Linked DNA regions of Canis lupus familiaris. The protein of the gene in region 3 interacts with the protein of the main gene of each other region in a pairwise test. Links are inferred from orthologs where the notes say so. Each region holds a gene or a part of one and is shown on either strand. Other genes may lie near its edges. The genes, in order: ESR2, CIB1, NRIP1, RORB, LDOC1 and CEP70.

Evidence for each region.
Region 1: the proteins of NRIP1 (region 3) and ESR2 interact in a two-hybrid assay, tested with the Homo sapiens proteins (2 studies listed by BioGRID, with this or other methods). The link is inferred for Canis lupus familiaris from reciprocal best matches to the Homo sapiens genes NRIP1 and ESR2.
Region 2: the proteins of NRIP1 (region 3) and CIB1 interact in a two-hybrid assay, tested with the Homo sapiens proteins (2 studies listed by BioGRID and IntAct). The link is inferred for Canis lupus familiaris from reciprocal best matches to the Homo sapiens genes NRIP1 and CIB1.
Region 4: the proteins of NRIP1 (region 3) and RORB interact in a two-hybrid assay, tested with the Homo sapiens proteins (2 studies listed by BioGRID). The link is inferred for Canis lupus familiaris from reciprocal best matches to the Homo sapiens genes NRIP1 and RORB.
Region 5: the proteins of NRIP1 (region 3) and LDOC1 interact in binary tests that used the Homo sapiens proteins (3 or more experiments, as listed by UniProt). The two-hybrid records come from large-scale screens. The link is inferred for Canis lupus familiaris from reciprocal best matches to the Homo sapiens genes NRIP1 and LDOC1.
Region 6: the proteins of NRIP1 (region 3) and CEP70 interact in binary tests that used the Homo sapiens proteins (3 or more experiments, as listed by UniProt). The link is inferred for Canis lupus familiaris from reciprocal best matches to the Homo sapiens genes NRIP1 and CEP70.

The regions. Positions count from the first base shown.
Region 1 is NC_049229.1:38,987,085-38,992,015, forward strand, and holds the start of ESR2 (estrogen receptor beta), read right to left. Parts: upstream 3,061-4,931; 5' UTR 2,951-3,060; intron 1-2,950.
Region 2 is NC_049224.1:53,673,063-53,678,126, reverse strand, and holds the start of CIB1 (calcium and integrin-binding protein 1), read left to right. Parts: upstream 1-1,991; 5' UTR 1,992-2,187; coding exon 2,188-2,238; intron 2,239-2,367; coding exon 2,368-2,402; intron 2,403-2,822; exon of another isoform or gene 2,823-2,999; intron 3,000-3,460; coding exon 3,461-3,569; intron 3,570-4,675; coding exon 4,676-4,826; intron 4,827-4,974; coding exon 4,975-5,064. Other genes in the region: GDPGP1 (GDP-D-glucose phosphorylase 1), read right to left, coding at 1,155-1,215. UniProt on the Homo sapiens protein: Calcium-binding protein that plays a role in the regulation of numerous cellular processes, such as cell differentiation, cell division, cell proliferation, cell migration, thrombosis, angiogenesis, cardiac hypertrophy and apoptosis.
Region 3 is NC_049252.1:12,381,386-12,386,357, forward strand, and holds the start of NRIP1 (nuclear receptor-interacting protein 1), read right to left. Parts: upstream 3,020-4,972; 5' UTR 2,893-3,019; exon of another isoform or gene 2,673-2,892; intron 1,784-2,672; exon of another isoform or gene 1,727-1,783; intron 1,046-1,726; exon of another isoform or gene 667-1,045; intron 1-666. UniProt on the Homo sapiens protein: Modulates transcriptional activation by steroid receptors such as NR3C1, NR3C2 and ESR1. Also modulates transcriptional repression by nuclear hormone receptors.
Region 4 is NC_049222.1:84,344,001-84,348,949, forward strand, and holds the start of RORB (nuclear receptor ROR-beta), read right to left. Parts: upstream 3,041-4,949; 5' UTR 2,326-3,040; coding exon 2,319-2,325; intron 1-2,318. UniProt on the Homo sapiens protein: Nuclear receptor that binds DNA as a monomer to ROR response elements (RORE) containing a single core motif half-site 5'-AGGTCA-3' preceded by a short A-T-rich sequence.
Region 5 is NC_049260.1:112,048,783-112,052,721, reverse strand, and holds LDOC1 (protein LDOC1), read right to left. Parts: upstream 2,470-3,939; 5' UTR 2,323-2,469; coding exon 1,879-2,322; 3' UTR 1,055-1,878; downstream 1-1,054. UniProt on the Homo sapiens protein: May have an important role in the development and/or progression of some cancers.
Region 6 is NC_049244.1:35,241,453-35,245,042, forward strand, and holds part of CEP70 (centrosomal protein of 70 kDa), read right to left. Parts: intron 3,191-3,590; coding exon 3,044-3,190; intron 2,867-3,043; coding exon 2,698-2,866; intron 2,520-2,697; coding exon 2,405-2,519; intron 1,515-2,404; coding exon of another isoform or gene 1,454-1,514; exon of another isoform or gene 1,397-1,453; coding exon of another isoform or gene 1,345-1,396; exon of another isoform or gene 1,342-1,344; coding exon 1,262-1,341; intron 1-1,261.

The DNA.
Region 1 (4,931 bases), on a different chromosome or scaffold from region 3:
CTTCCGGTCCTGGGTTTCAGTTGAACACGAACATTTACCCACAAACATTGCAGTCTTGCTTTGAGGAAACATACCAAATCCAGTAAGCTGCCTTGACAGTGACCCTTACTCTCCTGCTCTCTGTTAAGTACACCCATACCCAGAATCCCCGCTGAAGGCCCTTAATTTATGAAGAGGTATAAAACCTCCAGCTAGGAATGCCAACCACTCAGTTTGCTGGTGCTTCCTCAGCATGCCACTCTGCTTATCCTAGTTACTGCCTCTGTAGTTCTCTGAAAGGTAAGCTGCATGTAGAAAATACGGCCTCCTCTTTTCATAGCACAAAGGAGAAAGGAAAAAGACATCATCTGACATATCTTTATTAGGAGTGCTTAACAATAACAGACTCCTAGCTATTCTCTAAATTGAATAATGCATTAAACAGTAAAGAATATGTCCTGCAAGAAAATCTAGATTTCAAAGCATGAGCACAGAAATGGAAAAACTCTGACATCAACACATAAATTGGGCACAGACCTCAACTCTTAATAAGGACAGTATTTTTTAACTTAAGTCACAATCACTCTATATTAGATTTTCAATGTCTCCAGATTGCCATTTTTAATTACTTTTCTGCTCCTCACTAATTAATCGTACGTAATTTCAGGTAACTTTTGTACTCTCAAATATAATAAAAGTATTTTTTAAATGCCTAGTTATATAAATACAATACATTCTATTAATATTACATAAATGACCAATGTTTCTTTTTAAAAACCCTGTATTCAGTTGGTGATAATCCAGATGCACACCAGAACAAAAGACTTAGCCCACAATGGAATCCGAATGTGCTAAGAATGAAATCTATTAGCCCAATGGGAACCTAACAGTCCCATTTGCAAAATAGCTTTTCTTTGCCTCAATTCATTCCAAAGTATATAAGGAGTAAAACAAAAATACCACAACCTGACTCATCCCAACAAAAAGGGGGGTTGAGGGAGACTGGGATTCTCTTTTGCAAAAAGCATAGGAAGATTAATTATTTCTGGGTAAAAACATACTGAAGAACAGAACAGTAAAATTAGGGAACAGTTCAGTGATTTTTCAGGGGGTGAGGATGGGTGGGGGGGCTGATTACAAACACACAAAGGGGACTTTTGGGAGTGATGGCACTCTTCTAGGTCTTGACTGTAGAAGTGATTATATAAATGTTGCAACTGTCAGAATTCATAAAGGGTAACCTAAAGAGGCTAGGTTTTACTGTATATAAATTATATTGCCAGGAACCTGCCTTTTTAAAATGGCTATAATGTCCATTTCCACTAAATTATGAAGTGTAACATTCAAGTATACAGTTCTCAATGTTCTAGATGTAATTAGGAAAAAACTTACCAGTAAATGATTCAAGTTCAGCCTTCAGTGTTTTATATAATCATTACATATTTACAAGTATTATATAAAGTGGCTCAAAACATAAACTAAAATTATCAGATGTATTTTGCACCATTACTTGAATATAGATATATAGAAAACTGTAGTGTTTTACTCTTAAAAATGAACATTTCAATATCTATTAGATGTTAATTATGTTTTGAAGGGTTAAATTTACTACTAAATTTTACCTTTTCCATATTATAAGTAAACTGAGGAATAGAAAAGGTCATTAGATTCATTTGAGTCCCTCAGAACCACTATGAAATGTATTCTGTGTTTTTAATAGATTTCAGAGATTTTCAAGTCTTAAGAGTTACAGGAGACTGGCTGTTTTTGAAATAAGAATGTTTCAGTAATTCAACTGAAAAAAAGAAGATTGAATGTAAAATGGATCCTAAGATTATGCTTTAACACCTTACATTCTCCCTCTTCTTGAGTATATGCAGAAATATAGATTTTTCTGCAGAAAAAATAAAAGGCAAAGAAGAAGTGTCATAGTCAGAGAACACATACTTTTTTACAATACTTAACGGCAGAAACCTTTCTTTCCACATGTTCACTTAAGTAACGAATACCTTTCTCCACATATAATAGCCACTGTGAGTTCAGAAACTTAAAAGTAAAAATTCCCAATGGCATGTCCATGAAAATACTAAAAGTCTAGTAAGGCAAAAATCTTACCTCCAAAGGGTTGTGTACTACACCAAAGCACAAAGCTGCTTTTTTAAAAAGCTAGTAAAATTGAGTCAACCTGGTTTTCCTAAATAGAAATTCACTCAAACCCAAATTTTTTTTACAAAAAAATATTATTCCCTTGACTTAATTTTAGGCTTCCGAAATGAATCAGGCACGAATGGTAACACAAAGGGACAAGAGAAGAGCAGCTGGCTTCCTCTTCAGCAAATAAAACAGACCAGATCTTAGATCTTGCTCAGTTCACCCAGGACAGAAGCAAATCTGTTTTTTATATCACTGAGCAGTGGCACTTAATACATTTAAAACACCGGTCACCTGCTTGATCCACGTACACCTTCCCAGGCCCACAAAACTCAAGCATGAAGTCCTCGTTCAACTTTCCCACGCTCATCATTTCACCCTTTTTCGGGAAATCCATAGGAGGAAAGAAGAAAGAAAGAAAGAAAGAAAGAGAGAAAGAGAGAAAGAGAGAAAGAAAGAGAGAAAGAAAGAGAGAAAGAAAGAAAGAAAGAAAGAACGAAAAGAAAGAAAAAAAAGAGGAAAAGAAAGAAAGAAAAATAAAAGAAAGAAAAGAAAGAAAGAAAAAATCTAGAGTTTTTTTCTTTCAAAAAGACACGTATCAATCCGGAGTTTACAGGCACAAACTAATTAAATTAACTTGCCAGCGTCTTGAGTGAAAATACTTAGAGCGTGAAATTTCTGTTTCCTATAGTTTTCAAGACAAGTGGTTTCGGGCGGAGGCGGGGGTCTGTCATTGTTCTCAATATTGCTGCTTTCGCATCCTTGGCTTTCACACAGAGGAGCAGACAGTCCCACCTCGAGCCGGCCGGGGGGCCCTTACCTTGCAGGTGCACGGCGCCCAGGGGTCTCTGTCACGCGGGCCCGGCCTCTCCCGGAGCAGCCGCCCGCCGCGGGCCCCGCGGTCCCGGGGCCGGAGAGCGCGCCCACCGCGCGGCGCGGAGCCGGAGCGGAGCCGGAGCGGAGCCGGAGCCCGAGCGCAGCTGGATCGCCGCCCGCCGCCCGCCGCCGCCGCGGTCCCCCTCCGCGCTCCCGCCGCCCCCTCCCACCCACCGCAAGTTTCCCCGGCGGTCCCCGCCCCCTCGGCGCTTCGGGCTGCCTGGCTGCAGGGGCGCGAACCCGGTTTCAACAGGTCCAGGAGCCGGAGACGCTGCAAAGATCACCAACGACTTAACGAGGAGCCTCTCCTCCCTTTTAAAGACCCGGGGGCGGCGGAGAAAGCCTCCAAGAGCCCACGTGACCACCGAGCCGGCTGCCCAGAAATCTCGGGAGGACGCGGACTCCCCGTGTCTCGCCATCCACACTCACCTGGGCGGAGGGAGAAGCCCCGGGGAGCGAGCACTCGAGGCGCCCTTCCCGCCGGCCTGGGTTTGGGAGGTCTGGGGCGGGGCCTGAGAATGCGCATTTCCAACCCGGTGCAGGACCAAGCCCAAACGGATGCTGCCCGGTGGGGGGGCCACACTTTGAAGATTCACGTCCCTAGACCGTGCCCCACGTGGGTCTGTCAGTGGATGCTTCGGGGTCATTTAAATACAGAAGTCTGACTTTTTTTTTTTTTTTTAAGAATTTATTTACTCATGAGAGACACACAGAGAGAGAGGCAGAGACACAGGCAGAGGGAGAAGCAGGCTCCGTGCAGGGAACCCAACGTGGGACTCGATCCCGGGACCCCAGGATCACGCCCTGAGCGGAAGGCAGAGGCTCAACCACGGAAGGTGCCCCCAGAAATCTGACTCTTAAGAATCCAGTGGTGAAACTAGAGAGGCTTTGGGTTTTCTCAGTCCGGGGCCCAAGGGCAGGTTCGTGCCCCTGGAGAGGCCAAGCCACGAGGCCGTGGAGGTAGATGGCGGGTGCGGGTTCTGAGCGGCCGGCTGGGGAGGCCTTTCGCCTTAGAGCAAGGAGCCCAGGAACCTCCTCACTCACCGCTGCCAAAAGAGGCAGCTGGGGGGACATCTGCCTCTGCCGCTGGCGGCGCCCCTCTTCCCTCCGCAGGGCCTCCGTGGAGCTCCCTGCAGGCCTGAGCCCCCTGGTGGCAGCTCCAGTCCCCCAGGTCTGCGGAGTCCCCAAGCTCTCCTCGCCCACCCTGCAGCACAGCCCACAGCCTGAGGACTTTCCCTAGTCGTTAAGCAGCACCTGGCGTTAGGGCAGCCACTGGTGGCGAAAATCCAATGGTAAGTTGCATATGTCCCATAAGCCATTCTCAGACCCCAGTGCCACATTTGTGTCTAATTAATCATCAAACTATCCATACACGTGGCATAAGGGACGTGGTTCTTGATCTGGTTGTGACTCCAGATCTCTGATAAAAGAAGACCAAGAGGGCATCTGGAGGGAAACTTACAATGCCTGCCTCAAGTGTTGGGGTTTAGCCAAAAATGGCCCAAGCCGACTCTAGTGTGCTCTGGGTTTAGGAGAGTGAGGTCCACAGGTAGTGAAAGCAGGCTCCAAATGTGGAGAGCCACCCACTTTATAAACAGTGGATAGATACAATCTCTACTGCCCCACGCCCTCAATTTTCATTAAAGCAGGGACTCCTGGATGCTCTCAGGTTGTAAGGCAGGGTTTCCTGATCCTGGAGGCAGAGAAGTTAGTTTGAACAGGAGGGTGTGCGGCTGACCAGCTTCACCTGTGTAAGACTATAGAGACAAGATGCTTTGCCAATCTCGGCTTTCCTTGTTCCCTCTCTCGGGTGTCCCTGAATAGTACCCAGTGCCCACAGGCTCCTTCCTCCTTTGTACCGAAGAAAATTTTAAGCGATGGTTTTAAAATATCAGTTCTATTTGGAAGTACTTGCTTGTTAACAA
Region 2 (5,064 bases), on a different chromosome or scaffold from region 3:
CAAATAGCACAAAATATTGGTCCCTCCTCTATACAAAAAATCTACCAGGAACCAAAATTATAATCAGAACAGTTGTTCAATGAAAGGTTCAACACTAAGTGAGGTGGCTAAGAGATCTTTGTCACAACTGCTCACCAATGCAACTTCCAATTTCCATATCTTCACTATCTCACCGCAAAGTCCAAGGACCGGCATTGGCTGGCCAGTGCTCCTCCCCCTCGGTCTAGTACAGGAGACACTACGACAACTTCCTGTTCTTTGCCTATCCTTTTACTAACCAAAAAAAAATTTTTTTATGATCTTATTTATTTATTTGAGAGAGAGAGTAAGAGAGAGAGAGAGAACATGAGAAGGGAGAGAGAGAGAAGCACACTCCCTGGGACTCCATCCCAGGATCCAAGAACCCCGGGATTATGACCAGAGCCAACTCAGGCACCCCTAACCGAACTCTTCTTATACAGAAAGAGCCCTAGTGTCAAGATGATTGGGTTGGGATGGGACCACACTCACTTTGGTTGTGGTGTTCCCACTGTTTTGCAGCCTCCACTTCTTGGAATGGAATATTTCCACAGTGGTGGGACTCACATGTTGAAAGAGTGAGTCTTACTAAAGTCACTCTCAGATGAACAGCTTATTGATTGCTGGGGTTAGCTAGTCATTCATCAAACATTTACTCAATTGCCACCCATCAGATACTGTAGATCACGATTCTTGCAACTCTTCATGGAGCTTACAGTCTAGTGAGGGGAAGAGCTACAGACATTAATCAACACCTAAGCAAACATAAGTTCAAACATGCTACAGTGCTGTTGTCAAAGACAAGGAAGCCCTGGATACTCTGGAAGCCTAAGATTCCTAATCTAGTCTAGGGAACTAGGAAGGGCTTCCCTGAGGCTAACAAGTAAGAGCAACGGAGAGCCCATTGTGACCGGACCCCGGAAAGCCAAGAGAAGAGGGCAGAGAGAGACTGAAGTCAGATTTTTGAGGGCCGGTATTTAGGTTTTTAACCATTTATTAGTTTTAAACTGAAATCATCATGATCAGATCTAGACTTTACAAAGATCAGCAAGTAGAATGAATCAGGAGAATCAAGAACTAACCCCTACTGTTTTGTCAATTATACATCAATAAAGGTGAAAACAAAATAATCTCACCTCCACCTCCTCTCTCAGCTTGGAATCCTCGCCTTCTAGAACAGTGTGTAGGGTTCTTCATGCACGCATGAAATTTGTTGAGAGCCTACTCCGTGCCAAGCACCGTCCTAGGATTGACAGGGGACAAGCTCAAACAGCTCAACCTCAGTCCCCGCCGCCTCTGGACGCGGGGTCGGCTCAAGGGAGGCCTACAGACACGCGGAGCGGCGAGAAGAGCCTTGGACGGGGGTGACGGCTCTCCACATGCCCGAGCCTAGACAAGTCACCGAATCCTCTCCCCACTCGGACCTGCTGTCCACATTTGTAAGACGGGAACCTACCTTGTAGGGTGAGCATCGAAGATCACTATGCACGGCTCCTGCGGTCTGCAGACCCTCAGCGTACAGCCTCAGCGGGCCTGGGGGCTCCTGCAGGTGGCATGCAGGCTGCAACACGTGCGGCGACGGTGCAATGGAAGCGTCTGGAAGAAAAAGCCCTCGCTGCGCGCGAGTGCGCGGCAGGCCGCCTTCGGCCACGTAACAAGTCTCGCGCTTTCCCGGATTTCCAGGCTCCGGGTACTTGCCTGGGGCTCGGACCGCGCCCCAGGGAGCCGCCGCCACCTACAGCAGCGGAGAAGCACGCTGCGCGACCCCGGCCGCAAGCTCCGAGCCGGGCCATGGCTAGGCGGCGGGGACGCGCACGCATGCGCAGCCCGCCCGCACCCCCGCCCGCACCCCCGCCCGCCCGCGGCGAGGCTCGCCCCGCCCTGCTCGGAGGCGGGGCCGCGCGGCCTGGGCTCCGCCCCGGAGCGTCCGGCCCCGCTCCGGGCCCCGCCTCCAGCTGGCCGCGGAGAGCCCGGAGCGGGGAGCCGGGAGCGGGTCGGCGGAACCGGACCGGCAGCGCCCGGGCACTTTAAGGAGGGGGCGGGCCCGGGGGCAGCGGCCCCAGGACCGGTTGCCGCGGGGACAGGGCGGTGACGCGGCCCGAGGGCGGAAGTGGAAAAAGTTGCCGGCGCCCCGAGGCAAGTTGGCGGAGCCGTGCGCGCGGCGCGACGATGGGGGGCTCGGGCAGCCGCCTGTCCAAGGAGCTGTTGGCCGAGTACCAGGTGCGCGGGACGCCGGTCCCCGGGGAGTTTGCGCGCGGCCCGGCGCTGGCGAGCGGGGTCCCGGGGCGGGCAGCAGGGCGGGTGCGGCCCCCGGGAGGCCCGCTGAACCCCTCCCGTTTTGCCTTCCAGGAGTTGACGTTCCTGACCAAGCAGGAGATCCTCCTGTAAGTGCAGCGTCCAGCCTCCGCAGCCGGGTCCTCTGGAGGCGGCTGCGGGGGGCTCTGTCCAGGCGGGCAAACGGAGGGCCCCAGAGGGAGGGGCAGGGGCGCGCCCGAGGTCCGCAGCCGAGCCGGAGCCGGAGCCGGCGCCGGGCCCCGGGCCCCGAGAGCTGGGCCGTGCCCTCCACCTCGCCGCCCCCGGCCGGCTGGGCACCCCCGGGCCTGCGCCTCGCTGGCTTCCGCGTGACCGAACTTCCTGCCCGCGCCCGGCAGGGGCTGCTGTGGCTCTCGGTGCGCCGCGCCCCGCGGGAGCCTGGCTCCGGGCAACTTGGCCCGAACTGACGCGGCAGCCGTTAACGTTTACCGAGCGCGCGAAGCGGTCGCCTACACGACCTAATTCAGTCCTCAGGAGGGAGGTCCCGCGGCAGGGAAGCAGGTTTCAGAGAAGTTTGGTAACTTGCCTGAGACTACATTCCAAGGAGGAGGATTTGAACTCGGGCTGGAACCCCCTTCCTAGCCGCCTGCCAGCTTTTTGCGGTCAAGGCACTTGAGCGAGGAGATTCCTGGGCTTCCCTTGGCAAAAATAATCCCAGTGGGAAGGAGGTGAGGGCTGAGGAAGAGCTCCTGTAGGGTAGTTGCTAAAAAAAAAAAAAAAAAAAAAAAACGGTGGGAGGCTTTGAGGAGCTGGAGATCCCTGCAGTGAGATGGGAGACATTTCGATTTTACTCTTTTTCCTGTTTTTCAGGGGCAACTTCTGGCTCCTTCTGCAGCCTCTCCATCCCCCAGGGAGCTCTAGAACCAATGCCCAGTACAGTGCCTGGCACACAATAGGCCCTTAGTAAATGCCCATTGCCCGAATGGACTCTCAGTGCAGTTTTGTGTCATATGTGACAATACACATGGGGGTTATATATATCGTCTCCTTTTGGCTTATGCTTGATGACGGAGAGGTTCTATGTATGTGCCTTAGCTCCCCACTTGGTGTATAACGGATAACAAGACAAGGAGCAGGGGATGTGATGCACACTGGAAGGTTTGCCAACAGGTTCCCTTCCTTCTGCCAGAGCCCACAGGCGGTTTTGTGAGCTGCTTCCCCAAGAGCACCGGAGTGTGGAGGAGTCACTGCAGATCCGAGTGTCCTTGGAGCAGATTCTCAGCCTTCCAGAGCTCAAGGTAACAGTTCGCCACCCTCCCTCCGCTACACGCCTTGAGATCATGTGGTCACTGGTCCCCATTCTGGTCTTCTCTCCACTTAGCTCTAATTTCCTGAGGACTAGGGCTTTCCCAGACTCACCCGGTCAAATTAACTGGAATAGTGTTTTTCAAGCTGGGATTCTTGGATATGTTCTTGGGGAGTCAAAGAAGTTTTGTCTTTATTTTTTTTATTTATTATTTTTAAAAAATATTTTATTTATTTATTCATGAGACACACACAAGGAGAGGCAGAGATACAGGCAGAAGGAGAAGCAGGCTCCATGCAGGGAGCCCGACATGGGACTCGATCCCAGGTCTCCAGGATCACGCCCCGGGCTGAAGGCGGCGCTAAACGGCTGAGCCACCGGGGCTCCCCCGAAGTTTTGTCTTTAAGAGGAGTTGAGCTACCTTATTAAAGTTTGAGAAACCTTATTCCAGAGGCCGATTGCCTCTCCATAGGGTTGCTGTGAAAAAATTCTTTTAAAGATTTGTATTTATTTATTTATTTGAGAGAGAGAGAGAGAGAGAGAGAGAGAGAGGAAGGAAGGGAGGGGTTGGGGTAGGGGAGCAGGGAGAGGGAGAGGGACAAGCAGATCCCGCACTGAGCACGGAGTCCAATGAGGGGCTCGATCTCATGACCCTGAGATTACAACCTGAGCCCATGACCTGAGCTGAAATCAAGAGTCCAATACTGAACTGACTGAGCCACCCAGGGCGCTACTACTAGGAAAATGTTTATGCAAAGGGCCTGGCCTAGTACCTATAACACAGTAAGTGTTCCAGTAAATGTGTTTTAAAGTAACCAGCCCATCCTGTTCTCTTTGCTTAGGATGCTTGTCTTCCTTCTCTGCTCCTGGGCCTGCCTTTGGGTTAAACTGACTCACAGGAAACCATCCCTGTCCCTTCCCCAAGTCATTTGGTCCTCCTGCCCTCCATGCTGGCCCTAAAACATTGATCCTCGTCTCCCGTGAGCCTGAGCTCATGGAGCGGGTACTGTGACCTGCTCCCCCAGGTTCCTGGTAGGATTTGAGGAGTGTGTGACCTGGGCTGCATCTGTGGCATTCACACCAGGCTCTCTTGCCTAGGCCAACCCCTTCAAGGAGCGAATCTGCAGGGTCTTCTCCACATCCCCCGCCAGGGACAGCCTGAGTTTCGAGGACTTCCTGGACCTCCTCAGTGTGTTCAGTGACACAGCAACTCCAGACATCAAGTCCCACTATGCCTTCCGCATCTTCGGTGAGAGCCAGGAGCAGCCTGGCAGGACACGGCCTGGTCCCTACGTGGTCTGGGCGGTGGCATACTGCTGGGGGGCCGGGGGGCCTTCTGTGGAGCCTTGGAGCTCACCCTGACCACATTCATTCTGGCTTCCCATGTCCATCTCTAGACTTTGATGATGATGGAACCTTGAACCGAGAAGACCTGAGTCAGCTCGTGAACTGCCTCACAGGACAGGGCGAGGACACACGACTTAGTG
Region 3 (4,972 bases):
TGTATTGAACTGACAGTCTTAGGGCACTTTCAGAGGTAAGTACGGAAAGAGGTATTTCCCCCACCAGACTGAATGAAGCGGACTAGAGTTAACTATCCCTCAGTCTGCAGAGGAGTAGCTGTTCCATTGACTGATTCTTCTTCTTTGTCTCTAGGAACTAATTCCAGACAGAGAAAAAGTTACTACTGGTGATGAAGCCACTACTTTCTGAACCAACTAAACCCAACTGACATTACCAAACCGCCGGACAAAACCAAAACAACTTATTTCTAAGTTGAAAAACATTTCAACACACTCTAGGCAGCAACCCACACTTGGGCGCCAAGCAATTGAAACATTACTTGTTTAGAAAGTCCACTTATTTCAGTGTCTCTTCCACGAAGGTAGCAACCTGGTTACTAAACACTGAATAATCCGTCGGGAAAATACACCCACTTGCTAAACCTGTGATTCACTAATAAGCAGGTTCCATGGAATTCATAACTTTAAAGAATGAATTACCAAAGCCTTCTGCTTCACAAATCCCCCACCCCCAGAAATGCAAAAGCATTCATCGTATAGATCCCAACAACCATTTTCACTTTGGACATCAACAGACGGTCTTTCTTCCCCTAAAGACAGTTTTTCACCCCCCGCACGATCTCACGATTTAATCATTTACATTACCGGAGACAAACTCCAACTCAGCCCCACCGGCTGAGTGAAAAGTCCCTGTAGCTAGGGACGTCTTCCTTTTCGTCCGAAATAAAATAGCCTATTAAGAAATGTAACGCAAAAGTACTCATCACTCTGTTCTTCTTTCACTATCTTCAGCAGCCAATTAAACCACTAATAGGATGGGAGATGGGACCGCCTGTAAGGCTTCAGAGATCAACATGTGTCAGACTCCCAGCCTGTTGGCCCGTGAGACACAGTTGATTCCTTTGTTCCTTCAGACTGCACAGCAACTCTTGGTGGAAATTTGGAAACTACTTTGGAAAGGACGGGAGGGTTTGTAGAATATTTCCAGGGAAACCGTGCATAAAACAATATTCACTAGTAGCTAAGGAGGACACAGATAAGAGGGGAAGGAAGCCTCCCAGGACCTCCGCAGGGCTCACCCCAAACGCGAGCCCCGCTTGGGGCTCAGGGGGAGTGATGGGTGAGGCCTCGGGTGCAAAGAGCCTCGCCCTCGGGGGAGGGCTGCGGCGGGGGCGGGGGCGCAAGGGCCGAGCGGCCGGGCCCGGGGGCCCGGGCAGGGCCAGGAGAGCTGTCCCTGCTCCTGATCACTTTTCTTGGCCCGGAATCCAGCGAGCGCGCCGCGCCGGCAGGCACCGGGCGGGAGGCGGGAGGCGGGGGGCAGCGCCCGGCGCCGCCCAGGTCGCCCCGGGCTGCAGGACCCGGAGCCGCGCGGCCACACGCGCCCGGGCTCCGGGCCGAGGGGGCAGCCGAGCGGGGCGCGACCGCCGCCTCCGGGGAACCCACCGTGAGCCCGGGGCCAACTCCGCAACTTGCCGGGCCGGCCGCCTGGGCCCCCCGAGGTCCCGGGAAGACCCGGCGCCGGCAGGAGCGGCGATGCCCCCGCCCGCCCCGCCGCCCCGCCGCCCCCGCGGCCCTGCCCGCCGCCGCCGCCGCCGCCGCCGCCGCCGCCGCCGCCGCCGCCGCCGCCGCGCTCCCGGGCCGTTTCCGGCGGCGCCCGCGGCAGCTCGCGGAGCTCCCGGCGCCCCCGGCCGCGGCCGCCACTCACCGGAGGCCGCCGCGGCTCCGCGCCCCGAGCTCCGCCAGGCTCCCGCGGCTCCGCGCCCGCCGCCCCGTCCTCCGGCGCCCCGGGAGCTCCGCTCGCACGAGCAGCGCCGCCGAGCGCAGGGGCGGCCGCGGGCCACGGGCGGGCGTGCGCGGGGCCGGTAGTCCCTCCGCCTCCGCCTCCGCCTCCGCCGCCGCCGCCGCCTCGGCCGCCGCCGCCGCCTCCGCCGCCGCCGCCGCCGCCGCCGCCGCCGCCTCCCGAGTTCGGGGCTCTGCTGCAATGTCTGCGAGGCTGACTTTGAGCGCCTCGCTCGCCGCCCGCCCGCCCGCCCGCAGCCGCGCTCCTCCCTCCGCCGCCGAGTCCGCCGCGGCCCGGTCCCTCCCCTCGCCGCTCCACGCCATTCAGCTCTTCAGCCAAGTTTCTTAACCCTTTTCTCCCCCTCCCTCCCATGGCCGCCGGGGCAGGGGCAGCCTCTCGGGGCCCCGCAGCTCGCGCGAGCCGAGCCCCCGCCCTGGGCGCCCCGCGGCCGGCGGGCGGGGGCTGCGGGCGCGGAGGCGGCGGGAGGCCCGCGTCGGGGAGGGAGGGCCGGGGGCTGCCCGCGCCGCCCCCCCGGCCCCCGGCCCCCGGCCCCCGGCCCCCGGCTCCGTGCCGCCGCCCCTGCCCGGACAGCTGCCCCCCGGCCGGGGGCTCCCGCCGCGACCCGGGCCGGGGGCTCGCGCTGGGGGGCCGGGGCAGGCGGCCGGCACCGTCCCCTGGCGCCGCACGACACGCGCTCCGCGGCTCCCGCCCGCCCGCAGCCTCCCCGCCCGCATCCGTGTGTCCTGCTTCACTGGGGGGGGGGGGGGGCGGGGGCGCCAACTCCGGGCCGCGCGGACCCCACGCCGCAGCCCGCGGGAGGCCCCCAGGGCCCGAGGGGGAGCGGCTCCGAGGGCGAGGCTGGGAGGGAGACCTGAGGAGCGCGCGTCCGGCTCCTCGGCGGGCGTAGGACCCAGGAGCAGGGCTTCTCTCCGGCTGCTTTGTCACCGCGAAGTCCCCGGCGAGCCCGCCAGCCAATCTCCAGCATCCCGGCCAGAATCCGACCCTCTAGCAGCCCAGGCAAAAAGAGCAGGGCTGCCACCTCCTCGGCGGCCCCGCTCTCGGCTCGGTCTCCCGTACGAGGTGACAATTACATCACGAGGCCGTGGCGGCCGCGCCGGGGAGCCTCCCGGGTTCCTGCGGCCGAATCTCGCCGAACCCGCCTCTGAACTGGGGGGATCTGGGGTGGCGGCGAGGGAAAGTGCAGAGGAGACAGCGTCCTACGAACCGTGATTCCTCCCCCCACCCCTTGCCTTTCCTGCTTCAAAACCTTACCCCCAGTGCGCCCCCGAACACCGTAACTGAACTATTAACACCCCTTCCACACCTCCCCAGACGTCAGGTTTCTTTCTGACTCTAGCATCTAGCAGTTAGTAACTCGCCGTGAAAAAAAAAAAAAAAAAAAAAAAAATTACCAGGGGAACTGAATGTCATCGCCGAAATTGTTTTTTGCTTCATTAAAACAAACATAACAAACCAAACCAAAACAGAAACGCTGAAGTACAGCTGAACCCCAACCTCGACTCCGAGAGGGCATGCCTACGGTAAAGCACATTATACAAAACTTGAGTGAATGAGGCACTCCATTCTTATATATAGGTTTTCATACCCTTAAGAATTCTATGACATTTGGAAATAGAGTACTTAAACACCAAAAAACCCACTATCCTAGTCATGAAACAGTTTTCTATGCCTGTTATGTAATGGCTGTGCTGTGCATTTAAAATTTCATTTAACCTTTCAAAATATGAATGGAAGTTCTGCCATACCTTCAAATCTTAAGAGTGAAAGCAACGCTAAAGATAAATCCACCACCTAGCCCAGTGCTGGGCACAGGGTACGAAGGGTTTGCTGAATGGTGATGGTGCATTTTAGAACAATTATTTTACATCACCCTAGTGATTCAACTGTGCAATCTGTTGCCATCTTATATAGTTTACACTTCATAGGATGACTTATTGTGTGTATGTACCATAGTTTGAAATCTGCTCAAGGCAACTTAGTCAAGCCGGCTGTTCTACATGCATCATTATCTAGGGTTGATGCAAAGCGAACTGTTCCAATTAAGTGATGATCAGCAGAACTGGCATCTGGCCCTTTAAGGAGTCAAACTTCTTTAAAAACAACAACAACAACAACACTGTTAAGTGCTATACAAAGATTTTCTAAAATGGGTTATTTTTTTTCTTAAGCAGTTTATTGGACTTCATTTGGCTTTTCTTGAAAATTGAGGGTTAATATTATTAAAAGTGTTTACTGTGGTAGGTTGTAGTGGATTCAACGAATACATCAAGTTTCTATTCTACATCAGGCTTCTTCCTAGGTGTTAAAAGATGCTCCCAGGAGGTACATACACCATTAATGCACTGAAGGACTCTAGGATGTTAGGACTTAGTGATTTTTTTTTTTTTTTCTGCCTTTTGTAGTTCCTCTATTCCCCTTCGCTGACAATCTGTTGGCCTTTTTCTCTGTTGCCACAGCGGGCCTGTCTCTAATATTTTTCTCCTCTTCTGATTGGCAGCTTCTGGTCTGGGGCAGACTGGGAATCTAGATAACCTCCCTTGTCCCAATTCAGTAAAGTAAAACTAAATAGGTCCTATAAGAAACTGATGTGCTCACCAAGGAGTAAGACACATGAACCTCAACGCATAGACTTTGGGACAGCTATTCAGACTACCCAAATGTTGCTTTGAAAAGCATTAGTGTTCCTCCTTAACTGGGTTTTGGATCATCGAGGCTGGTAGATAAACAGTCTTCTAATAAGTGAGGTTACACTCTTGACCCAACAAGCAGAGTACTGGTCCTGCCTTCCAATGCAAGTGTTAGAAAATCTACCGCCATTTGTTAGCGGACTTAACAAAGCCTTTCACCTCTTACTAATCTATCTCTTCAACCCCACAAAAATCCAGTCCCTGAAATCCTGAACTCTTTTTGATAGGGCATCAGTGAAAGTAAATTGCGCACCTTTTGTGGGATTCATTTTTACTTAATCATGCTAATTGTGGTGGGGCTCTTTTGTTGTTGTTCTTTGTTTTTGAAAAATCAATACCTAAGTTTCCTGGCTAAGAGAGTCATTGCAGTGATACTGGGCATATGTGTAATATAAGAATGCCTATTCAGTAATGTGTATTTTGAAGATGACTCTCATTTTAACCAATTGTGATGTGAAAAAGA
Region 4 (4,949 bases), on a different chromosome or scaffold from region 3:
TGATGCTGCGGGAGGGCATAGCCTGTAGGAAGTGCACAGGGGTCAGGAAAGGAGAGCCTGGGAGGTGGAGAAAAAGACTCTGCCACCTTGTAAGCTTCCTTTTCTTCCAGGGCGAGCACCCCCCACCCCCTTCCCCCTCGCCGGAGAGCCGCTTTAAGTTAGGACTTGTAAACTCTTCTGGGCAGCTTGGCGAGGGTGACAGCCTTCTGGAAAGCGAGTGAGTGTGGGCTGTCGACTGGTTTCTGAAGGTGAGCACTAGGCGAGCGCCTGGCTTTCAAGCCTTCAGGCTGCTGGAGCCCGAGGCGATCCGGACTGTCTGGCATAGTGCTGCTTCAGGAGCAGCGCGATCAAGCTACAACCCACTCCTGCCCCGCACCGCCGCTTTCTTTAATTTAAGGGGGAGAGCGAGCGGCTTTTGCGCCGCAGGTCCTAGTGCCGGGTGGGAGCCGACACGACGCGTGGTTTCCGACCATCAGAACGTGGTCCTGCCGTGGGAGGAATGTTGGAAGGGGAGAAGTAAGGGAAGGGCGACCCGGCGGCCCCAGACCCGAGCAGGGGAAGCCGAAAGGAGGGGGATGGTGGTGAGACGGGGCAGAAACAGCAAAACAAAGACTGGGGTGGGGGCGTCTTTCCCTTACAGGTTCTATACTCGCCAGTTGCCCGAGTACAATTTTCTGAGAGAATCTGGACGATGCCGCATGTGACCAAACCCCCAACTGGGACACTCAACCGGAACCGGCTCGCAAGCCCCGGAGCTCCCACTCCGAGTTCGCGGGGTCCATCACCCCACCTGGATGGCTAGCTCCCTCCCACTCACTTCCCTGGACAACCTCTCTGTTCTTCCCCCTCCTTCCCTTTCCTGCCACGTCCCAGCGCCCAGCCAGTCCCTGCCCCGGCGTCCAAGCTCCAAGCTCCGGGGTTCACTTTGTGCGGAGCACGAGAGCAAGCCCGCTGCGCCCCGCCCCCCAGGGCCCTCCTAGAGAGGTAGGTGCTGGCGGGGGAGGGGGCGGGGGGCGGGGGGCGGGGGCGAGTGGGAGAGGTGCACTGCCGGCTAGAAGACGAGGAGCGTTTGCAGTCCGACCTTCCCTAGCTCTACCTGCCTAGTCCACCTGTCGCCGGGTCAGGGACGTAGGGAGGCCCGGGGCTGGCCTCTCCAACTTTCTGTTTGTTGCCAGGCCCCGGAGGGCGTGCGACGGGTAGCGGAGAGCCCCACAAAGAGCCGTAGAGTGGCCAGGAAGAAAAAACGGGGCGAGGCAGGTGCCCGGAGACTTGCACACGTCCCCACGGCAAGCTGGCTCTCGGCCCGCTCTTCAAGAAAAGAGTAAAGTTGTGGCCAAGCAGAAAGTGGGGGGGAGCGGGTCCGAGCACAGCGCGCTGGAGACCCGAAGGTCCCGGCACTGCCGGGGAGGAGACCGACGTAGTGGCTCCGTCCAGCCGGCCGGGCCGTCCACTGGGCAGCGCCGAGGGGACCCAGGGGAAGCCTCTCTCGCCCGCCCCCGGCGCGCCGCCCCGCGGCTGCCAGCTCGCCCCAGGGACCCGCCGCCGCCGCCGCCGCCGCTGGGGGTCTCGGCTCCGGGGCTCACCCAGCGGCCCCTTGACAAAAAGAGCATCCTCGGCCGCGGGGGGCGCCGGCTTCTCAGTCCTCTGGAACTTTCTCTGCGCAACTTTTTCGGGGCGGCGCTCGTCCGTGGACCGCGCGGGCTCCAGCACGCGGACCTGGCCAGGGCGGAGCGCCGGCGCAAGGGACGGGCGCGGGGGCCGATGCAGCGTCCGCGTCGGGTCCCGCGCCCGCGCCCGCGCCCCCCTGCCCACCGCTGCCGCGAGGCAGGGCCGGGCCAGCCCGAGTCCGTGAGTCCGTGCGCCCGCGCCCCCGCGCCCCCGCGCCCCCGCGCCCCGCCGCCTGCCCGTGCGCCCCGCGCGCCCCAGCCCCGCAGGCCACCGCCGCGCGCCGGGGGCTCCCAGCCGCCTCGTGGGGCCGCAGCCCGCGCCGGCTCCCGCTCCACCCGGCGTCCGCGGCCGCAGCCGAGAGCGACGAGCACAAACGGTTCGGCGAAACTCCTGGCCCGGGAGGAAGCAACTAGCGCCGCTCCTCTCTCCAAAAAGCGCCCTCCTGCGTCCCTCCAGAACTCCCGAGAGGCATCCACACCTTCCCACAACTTTGCACGCCCGAGGCCATCGGCAGCCCACCTGCGAGCGCGGACCCCAGCCCCGCGCCCCGAGAGCCCCTTCCCGTGTGCGGGGTGCGCTCCCCTCCCCCCTCCGCAGGGGCCGGCGGTGGCCGGACCGGGGACCCTCTCGCTGTCCGCGGGCTCGCTTACCTCGCATGGTGTGGCCGCTCTCCCGCTCCGCGTAGTCATGAAGCTGCTCCCAGCCCGAACCCCGGAGAGCCCAAAAATCCTGCTCAGCACGAGTGAAGAAGGTGGTCGGCAAAGAGCTGCTCCGCCGAGAAAACCATCCCTTTAGGCGGACGCCGTGGCCGGAGGGTGACGTTTGCCGCCGCCGCCGCCGCCGCCGCTATGTTAACAGTTTTGATGATGGTGGTGATGACTGTTTTGATGGTTGTTTGGTTGTTTGTTTTCAGGAAGGGTGGGAAAAAAAAAAAAAAAAAAAGGTGCTGTCTGGCTGGTGCCCGGGTTTTGTTTTGCTTTTGTTTTTCTTTTTTCTTTCTCTCTAATGTGCTTGCTTTTTAAAAATGCCACCGCCTCCGGCTTAGAAGATTTCTTTTGTGATCACTTGGACTGAGGAGGAGGAGGAAGGGCAGAAGCAGCAGCAGGAGGAGGAGTTGGTGGTGGTTTTGTTAGTTACAAAGAAGAAGGAGAAGGAGCAAGGGGTGGGGGGGGGGGAAAGGAAACAGAAAAGGAAGAAAGGCGGTGTGGATGGCAGAGCATGTGCGTTTTCACATGACATCTGTGCCTGTTAGCGGATCCAGTGAATTTTCACTGTTCAGTTACAGGGAGGAAGGGAGCGAGAGAGAAAGAGAGGAGAGAGATGGAGAGAGAGAGAGCCGAGAAGGGGCTTATACGCGAGGGCGGGTTTGGCCGGGACTCCCAGGCCCCGCCCGCTGTCAGCGCCGCCGCCTATCAGCGCCCGGCAGCGCTCGGAGGGGCCGGGGCCGGGGCCGCGGGGGAGGGGCCGCGCTTCCCGGAGGCGGGCGGGGGTGCGGGACGCGGCGGCCCGCGGCCGGCCCGAGCTGACACTGGCCGGGGAGACCGTCCGAGCTGGGCAAAGGAGCGGGCCCGGCCCGCGAGGGGCGCCGACCCGCAGGGGACACTCACGTCCGACCCCGGAGGCGGGGGAAGGCGCTGCCCAGTCCTTTCGGAGGCGACGGCCGTGCGGCTGCCCGGGTCCCCCGTTGCGTCCGTCTCTCGCAGCCGCCGCCTGCCCCGAGAGTGAGTTCTGAGTGCCTGGCAGCGCTCTGCAGAGTCCTCTTTCGGTAAACTCCGAATTTCTGGCGGGGCTTTTCGTGGCAGCAAAACGCCAATCAATTTCCATCACGTTGAGCGTGACCAAACTGCAGTCCCGTGCAAGGGCCATCCGCTTCCTTGAAAACCATCTTTCAGATGCTTCCCGCCCCGAATCCTAAAAACAGGAAGCACGACACACTTAAGATTTCTTCAGGGTGGTTTTTATTTTTTTTTTTTTAATTATTTTTTAAAAATGTTGTAATACTTTCTTTCGTCAAGGAAATTTTTATTAGCATTTGCAAAATCTCCTGGCATTGCGCTACCTCTATTCAAGGGTAAGAGCCCCAACTGTGGCTACCTCAGTGGTGCCAGGGAGATGGCTGAGGCCAGAGGGATGACTGTGTAAGTGCTGTTTATTTGACAAACGTGTAGGGCTCTAGGAGGGAGGACTCTTAAGCCCCTGGCTTTGAGAAGACACTTCTCTATTTATTGGAGACTGACAATTAAACGTGAGTATTTTGTATTCCTTAGGTGAAAACTGTCATCTATGACCATTTATTTGTATTTTGATAAAAATCCAGTGCATATGTCAAACCTGTTCCTTTGCAAGTTTTCCTCTCTCAGTGGACACAGTAAACACATAGTGATCACATCTACTCCCCGCCCCCATCCCCACCATAGTAGGTTAATTGGTCCCCTACAAAGCAGAGAGGGGAGAAATTTGCTTCTCTTACTCAGTCTTAAGCCATTGAGGCTTCTACTCATTAGCGTACCTGTTGGCAGAGCAGGCCTCATCATCATTCACCTGCCCAAATAATTTGATTTTTTGCTCTATTCATATTATGTCATGTGACAAAAAAAATGCAATGCAAAATTGGCGATTATTTAGTTAATTACTGCACTCTACACGGCCAAGTAGTTTGTCCCTCCCTGTTTAAATAAGAAAATGGATTACTTGCTGAATCCTCCCTAGTGCTAAATTGACTTAGCCCTGCTATATGCCCTTCCATTTGCAAGCCAATGTGTAATTTAGGAAAATTTTAGTATTAAGAGTGAAAGTTGATTGAGTCTTTAATTAAATGAAATGAACAGAAGGAAGTCACTGTTCAGAATAGTTATTCTCTTATAAATACCTTTCCCCTAGATTTGTAATTGACACAGTAGTTAATCTTTTAAGATAATATTTAAGGCTCCCTGGTTTTATCATTTTTAATCAAGTAAAATATATTCATTATAACCACATTAAAGCTGCACTAAGTTATGCCTAATTTAGTTGCTTCATTAAAAATTACTGAATATAAAATAGTCAAGAAACAAATTGTGACTACAACATTTTAATTTTATGTGCTTCAAGCGGAGACACAGGAGTGTTGAAAGTTCCAAAGCCTTTGTAAACACTATAATTATTACTGTTGTGATTATTTTAGATTTCTATTTCTGATTAAGGAGAAATTTTGAAATTCAAGAATTTTAACTCTTTTCTTCTAGTCTTAAGTTCCTGAACATTTACTGAATTCTTAAATTTCTTTTACTGCTGGCTGCAAT
Region 5 (3,939 bases), on a different chromosome or scaffold from region 3:
CGATCTCAACAAACCCATGCCTCTGAGGTGACCGGTAGGATGACCAGTATCTCATTTAATCGACAGTGAGGTTTACCGGCACAAATAAAAGAATAACCGGCCTCAGAAGATCTTATGCAATAGGGAAGTTTATTACCTAAACTGGAGATGTTAAGGTAGGGCTGGCTCCAGCTATGGTACAATGAGTACATTTGGGCAGATAGAGATGAGAACTCTGAATCCCTCACATCTTCCTAAATGTTCCCGTGGCAGAGGCAGCTTCCACAAAACCCACTACCGAATTTATCTGATTTCACATTTCAAAGAGTTCTTCTCAGCACCCCCACCCCACTCCCTGAATGCCTCGGAGCCCTCCAGGCCCACAAAGAGGTCTCAGCATAGCCCAGATAGCAGTACAAGGTCTAGTTCAGGAGACAGTCAGTCTCCAATTTCCATAGGCAGGAATCTGGGACATATGTATGGGTGGGGATTCTAAGACAGTGCACCCGGGGTGCTGAAATGTTAAGATCACGCTCTATTTAGTATGGGTTCACTCACACAGGATCCAGGGCTTAATGTCAGTTCAAGCACCTGAAAGGGGCATTAAAACAATATGCTACGTAGTTAACTGAAGTCTGAACTCAACAGCGCCCCGCGGGCAACAAGACTTAAGGGACAGAATTTCTCTGGCAGTGTTGAGTAAGGAATCCAAAGGCTCAAGAAGATAATAACATTGTATGTGTCCAGATTTATGCCTGTTGTCCTAGTCTAATTATTAACAGTGTCCCCCTTTAACTCTCAAGTGTCCCAGTTTGGGATGGTGTGCCACCTGCTCAGCCACCCCTTACCCATGCCACCCTGGAGGCCCCAGAGGACACTCACTCCTTTTGCCAGGGCTTTAAGAAATGCCTTGGTGAGGAGAGTACCAGAATTCCTAGAAAACCCTGTGGTAGTTGTCCTCTGTAGCCTAGAGATGACAGTGGCGAATACTGGGACTGAACTAAGTTCCCTGACCTCAGGGGGCATAACGGGAGTCAGAGTGAGATTGGAAGAGGCCAATGATAGCACTTAACCATTAAAAGACACTCCTTTCTTTATTTTTGTAGTGCTTGATATTTATTGAAAAGAACGTAAATGCTTTTTTCCAGGTGGTATTGAGGAGCTGGGCTGAGTGCCTGTTTTTGTTTGTTTGTTTTGTTTTTAGTATTTCTGTCCAAATGCACACATCTGTTGGGACTGCTGCAGTTTGGAAAGAAAAAGGACAGCTGTGCAAAACTGGTGCATAGGAGAAAAGAAATGTCAACAATTTGGCTGCCAGGCGCACTAGGCCCCTGCAGCAATCTGGTGGGGAAGGGGAGGACCCTGGGAGTAGGCAGGGAACTAACCAGGTTGAAAGACTGGCCCCTTCAGGGGCTGGTGAGCTGTCCAAATCAATGTCCAAGGACATAGAGCCAACTCAGGCATCTTCTAGGTTGGTCCTTATTTTCAAAGGCTGTGTTCTGTCGCTGGAATGTGGTGGACGGTGGTGAAGTGGCAGCGTAGGTCTCTGGGCAGATGGAGGCCTTGCAGTCGGCAGGGCAGGGCTGTGCGTGGTCTGACCAGTTTGTAACAGGGGCCTGCCCTATAGCTGGGGCTCAGGACACAGTCCAAATCAGCAGGGGAGGGCCCCGGGGCTGGCCAGAGTGGGTGGCGGCGCGCTTCCGAGCGAGGCCCCAGCAGCAGGTAACCGGAACAAAGGCAAGCACTACAGGGGGATGACGGAGAGAACCGGAGAGCTGGGGGTAGGGAAGGGGATGGGAGGGCGGAAGGGCGCTGGGCGGCTCCGGGCCGGGCAGGAGAGGCGGGGGAGAGGATGGCGGCGTGCAGGGCCCTCCCCCCTGGGCCCGAGGGTCTCCCGGCCTAGTAATCATCTTCCTCGTCGTCGTCGTCGTCGTCTTCTTCGTCGTCATCCCAGCCAAAACACTGTTTCATCTCATCGAGGAAGGCCCGGTAATCACCTAGGATGGGGCTATCCATCTCAATGTAGGGCACCACCCACTCCTCGGCTTCCCCGGTGAGCAGGCTGATTAGGAATGCCACCTTCATGGCGTCGTTGCAGAATCGGTTCTCGTTGACGAGCATGTAAGACGCCGTCTGCACGATAAACTCGGGGAGCCGGGAGCTCTCGCCGCTAAACGTTTCGGGGAAGGGCACCGGGCAGCTCGGCGGACGTACCTGGCGCAGCAGGGTGGCCCTCTCGCACACCAGCAGCCGCAGCTGTTCCATGAGCTGGCTGTTCTCGATGCTCAGGGCGCGGTGCCGCATCAGGAGCGCGTGCAGCAGCAGCACCAGCTCGTCCACCATGGCGAACGGCTTGCAAGCGCAGGGCTGGGCTCGGCTCAGGTGCGCACGGAGGCCTCGCAGGAAGTGCGTGTCCGCCGAGGCGCACGGTGGCCAGGGGCGGAGGGCGGTGCGCGCTGGGGTCCGGCTGCTGCGCAAGCTCCGCCCGCACAGCCACTCGGGCGGCCGGCGCGCCGGCGCGGCCCGGGTCGGGGGGCGTGGTCAGGGCGCTGCCGGCGCCGCGAGGGGGCGGGGCCGGGGCGGGGCCGGCGGGCCGGGGGCGGGGCCGGGGGCTCGGTCCAAGGGAGGGGGCGGGCGGGAGCCGGGGGCCCGCGGCCGGAGTTCCCGAGGCCGGCGCCCGGGAAGGGCAGGCTCCCGCGCTAGAGCCCCGGATGTGCGCCCCGGGACCGCCAAAAGCCAGCTCAGAGAGGGCCAACCTGCTCAACTTTAAAGGATCGGTCACGCTCGGACTCAGCCGACTCACACAGTGCGGGGCTCCTTGGTGGGTCTGTGGCTACGAGATTCCACCTGCGCGTTTCGGTGACACACGTCCTCGCTTATTGAAATCCCACTCACCCAGGGAACTGCTGGCGCTGCGGCCTGCCCCGCGGGAGCCACGCATCCTTTCGGAGTTGCGAAAGACCCTTCCTTGGGGCTCCTCTTTGAAAACAAAACAATATCTAAATGGGGTTTTTTTTTCTTTAGTTGGGAAACAATATTGTATACCTACATCCTTTTTTAAAAAGTATTTTTTTCTAAACAGTCAAGTATAAAAACTTCTGCAAAAGCACCACTGGAGAACGATTTGCAGGCTCTCGCCTCTCTTTGACCCTCTGTTTCATGTCCTGTTAATGCCCCTTGGCCCTCGGTCGCATGTTGTTTGTTGCTTAACAATGAACACTTGTGTTTTTAAATGCTTTGGGCTTTCTACTTTGAACTGGATTATTTAAATCGTTGAGTCCAGGACCCTAGAGCTGAAATTTTGTTGGCTCTGCTTTTAAAATATATCCCCAGATCAGTCACTTCTCCCACTATACCACCCTGATCCAGCCTTCCTTATCCCACCCAGACTGCTGCAACTGCTTAGCTTTCACTCTTCTCTTCCTGCAGTACACACAGGAGTCCCTCCTGATCCACGGTTTTGCTCTCCGGTGCTTTCAGTCACCCGTGCCAAGGGTGGTTTGATCCGGAATCAGCTGACCCTCCTTCTGACCTGGCACCAGAAGATCAACCAGTAGCCTGGCGTCGGATCACTACGCATTCTATCATCTCACGTCATCACAAGAAGGGTGAGTACAGGACAGTAAGATACTTTAAGAGATATTTTGAAACTTGCATAATAGTTATGTGTTACAAACATTCTATTTTATCACATGAGCTAGTAATGTCTTAGTGTGCCTAACTTATTTAAATTGTATCAAGTACGTATAGGAAAAAATATAGTCTATATATAATTCAAGACTATCCTCAGTTTCAGGCATCTGCTGGGGATCTTGGAACAGATTCCCCTGTGGATATGGCCAGGGAACGAGTGACTCATGTCTCAGGGCAGTGGCTCATATTTCTCAGTGCCCACTCTCTCCAGAGAGTAGGCACAGGAATCCTTTTGAACAAAAGTGAGAACTTTTTACTCCCCTGCTC
Region 6 (3,590 bases), on a different chromosome or scaffold from region 3:
TTAAAATATTTATTAATGATGAGAACTTCCCTATTTAACTGCTACCCCAAAGCAAGTAAAATCTTATTATTCTATGAAACTGATTTTATTGTCTTTAGGATACAAGGCAATACATTTCTACAATTTCAGGTCTCTTCTGTAACTTTTCAAATTACATTTTTCCTTGCTATGATATCTTTCAAACATATGAGCATGACTAAAGGTACATTCAGTCACTGTCTCCCTTGCTTCCATAGCATACACAAAACTTGCCACAAAACATCCTTTATGTTTACCAGGCTAGATATTCCAGTCAGATGCTTCTTTACATTTCATTTATTCATCTATCTTCTTACCAAATTTTAATTTACTTAGTCCCTTATCTTCTACTAAATCTTACCTCCTCTTCTAATTTTATTATTATTTTTAAATGTAAGCTCTCTTCCCAATGTGGAGCTTGAACTCACAACCCCAAGATCATGAGTTTCATGCTATACCCCACTGAGCCAGCCAGGCTCCCCTCCTTTTCTAATTTAATTTCCTATGTCAAAGAGGCATTCTTTTAAAACAAATTCTTTCAAATGAACTATATAGAAAAAAAAAATTCATCGGTGAATAAATCACCTTAAAAAGTGTTTTTAAAGTAAGATAAGTTACTTTTATAGCCATATATAATCATACTTAAAATAAGAGCCTTGGGTCTCTATTTTGCCTGATTCCGAAGGAAATTAGATTTTTTTTTCCCTTTAAGAGATAATACTAATAACAAAACCCTCAATCTGGCCAAGAATACAAATAAATCTCTTCCCTTATACAGATTTATGAATTTATCTTTCTTTCTACAGATATTCACTTTACATTACTTATCACCCGAGAAAGAAATTTAATTTGTATATTTAAAAAAAACCCACAGTAGGTAAGCTGTTAAAAAAAAAAAAAAAAAAAGGGAGGAAAAAAAACCCTAAAAAACTAAATACCTTCAAGATCATAAATTCTATGAAGATTTCTCATTAGGCATGACAGAGTCAGGGTTAAACTGGGCCTAGCCAGAGTAATGTCATTTCTCATTTTAAGGATATGTGCTTCTCTGTTTTGCACACCAACCTCAACCAACTCTAATTTTAAGTCAGGAGTGTGTTTCCAGAACTGTTAGTGGTTTTTAGACACTTCTACCAAAACACTATAGGTAAAAGTACTAATAAAGTGACTATGGAACACTCACCCCTCAAACCCCCTGACTTCTTAAAACTTGAAATTTAACCACTATCAACAATAATCTTACCTAAGATTTCAAGTAGATCATTAGTAAATGCCTGAAATGCTGGGAAAAATTCCTCATGTTCTTCCAATTTGTTGATAATGCTTTTAAAAAAAAATGCACAGTTTACACTGAATTTCCAACTTAAGGTTCTTGTATCTGATTGAAATAAAACATTTTCAAAATGGAAAATTTCCTGCTAATTTCAATATAAATTTAATAATCATTTACTGCAATCCTTCCTTTTTGAAGTCTTTGTTCATCTAATACCACTTTTCTAAAAAAAAAAAAAAAAACTTATTATCAGTCTAAATATGTGTTCCAAATTAATGTAACACTCCTAATGTGAAAGCTTTCCACTTAACTTGAGAATTTTTAAGAGACCTTGCTTTTTAACATTTTCTAAAAATTGTTTTTTATATCCCATATTCTATGAAACATTAAGAATAAGTATCAGTCATCTAAATGTGGGAAGGGAAAAAAGACAAATATATGTTCCTTTTAAAAGCATCAAGTATCAGAAAATTCATGTGTCAGATTAGGTAAGGATCTTTGTAGAAAACTTGCAGAATATATGAATAGGTGGTATATGTTATGTGCTCCTCTTCCCCTATGTTGCGTATAAAATTGAGGGTGGAGGGTGGAGGTGGAAGAGTTGCTTTAAGTATATCTATAATGTTTCCATATTTCAAAAGAATGTTTTTAGAGTTGACAAGCTTTAAAAAAAATCTTTAACATTTATCTTCTAATCAAATAATAAACATACTATTAGCAATTGTTAAGTGACCTATGGTAGTGTACTAAAAATAGGACTTGTTTATATAGTCTGAACACTAACATGAAGTTGCTAACAAGGTGTGAATTTCTCCACGTATAATTTTCCTTGGGAACAGGCTTATAGCAATAATGCTTGAGTTCTGACCCACCCTATGTAAACTTATAGGCCCTACAATCTATTTTTATCTTGAAAATGCATGGCATTCTCTCCATTGATAAGGTGTGAGATTATTTTATATTGTCAAGTTATTTAAAAAGCTATCCCAAACAGGAAAGGTAAATAACTTATGAAGCTTTGAAAAGTCTTTAATTTCACCACTCCAAGCATTCTGGATGATACTTTGCAAACTTTTTTTTTTTTTTTTTTGGCAAACTTTTTAAAATAAATACCTTTGGAGGTCTTCAGGTCCCAATACCTGCATAACCTGTTCATTCATGTTCTCATTAATCACCCTACACAATTTTCCAACTGTGTTCACTAACACACACAATGAGGATGAACTATCTGAAAGAGAGAAATAAAAGGATATCTTAAAAGAGAATTTTCAACATCATAAAATTAAATCAAATACCCTATGCTTCTGTTATCCTCAAATTTTTACTTTCTATTTTTTAACCTACTTTTTGTTGATTTATTAGGAATAATTCTTAAATGGGGGCCAGAAAGAATAAAGAGTTATCACCTAATTCTAAGAGTTCTTGGAGGTTTCTCACAGCATTGTTCATTTCTCCAAGCCTAGTATAAACTTCATTCATTCGAGGATAGACTCCATTTAAAGAAGGCACATCAAATAACTTTTGGAAGTGAGACACAATAGCTTGCAAAGTTTTTAAGTTTGGCATATTGCTGTCCTGTCCAAGAGAGAGGGATAAACAGTTAACATGTTAAAATAATCCTAAAACTTTAATGAAAACTTTAAAAAGAGAAATAGAATCTTAATAGAACAAATATCATTATCTGTATCACTATCAATTTTTAAGATAAGATTACATTAAAATATGAACATTTACATAAGTATTAAACATTACCTTTTCCTTATTTTCAACTTCTTCTAACATGGTATCTACTATAAACAACAGATCTTCAACTCTAATACCTTCATTTTCATCATGCCTTTTTAAGTTATGCCAAGGCACCAGTTCTGTAGATAGTATTTTCAAGGACTTATACAAATCCTTTATAACAAAAGAAACAACATGGTATTATTGATTTTTAAAAAGACTCCATAATAATGTCAATATAATATAATTGTCCAGGCAAGTTTAATATATATAAACCATCATCAGTACTTTTTAAAAAAATACCATTACTAGTTTAGAAAAAGTCTGTTAAATGTGTGTTCTCCAGGTAAATATAGGGCTTAGAAAAAACAATGATAATATTGGTTATCTCAAATCTGGATGTTTAAAGTAATGATGTTATTTATTAGTAGTATATGTTATTTAAGTAGTTATTTTTAAACTACTGATATATAAAAAACAAATTCATCCTTCATATTTTAGCCTTAAACAATTTTATAACAGAATTATGGAGATATAATTCATATAAAATTCATTCCTTACAAGGGTACAATTC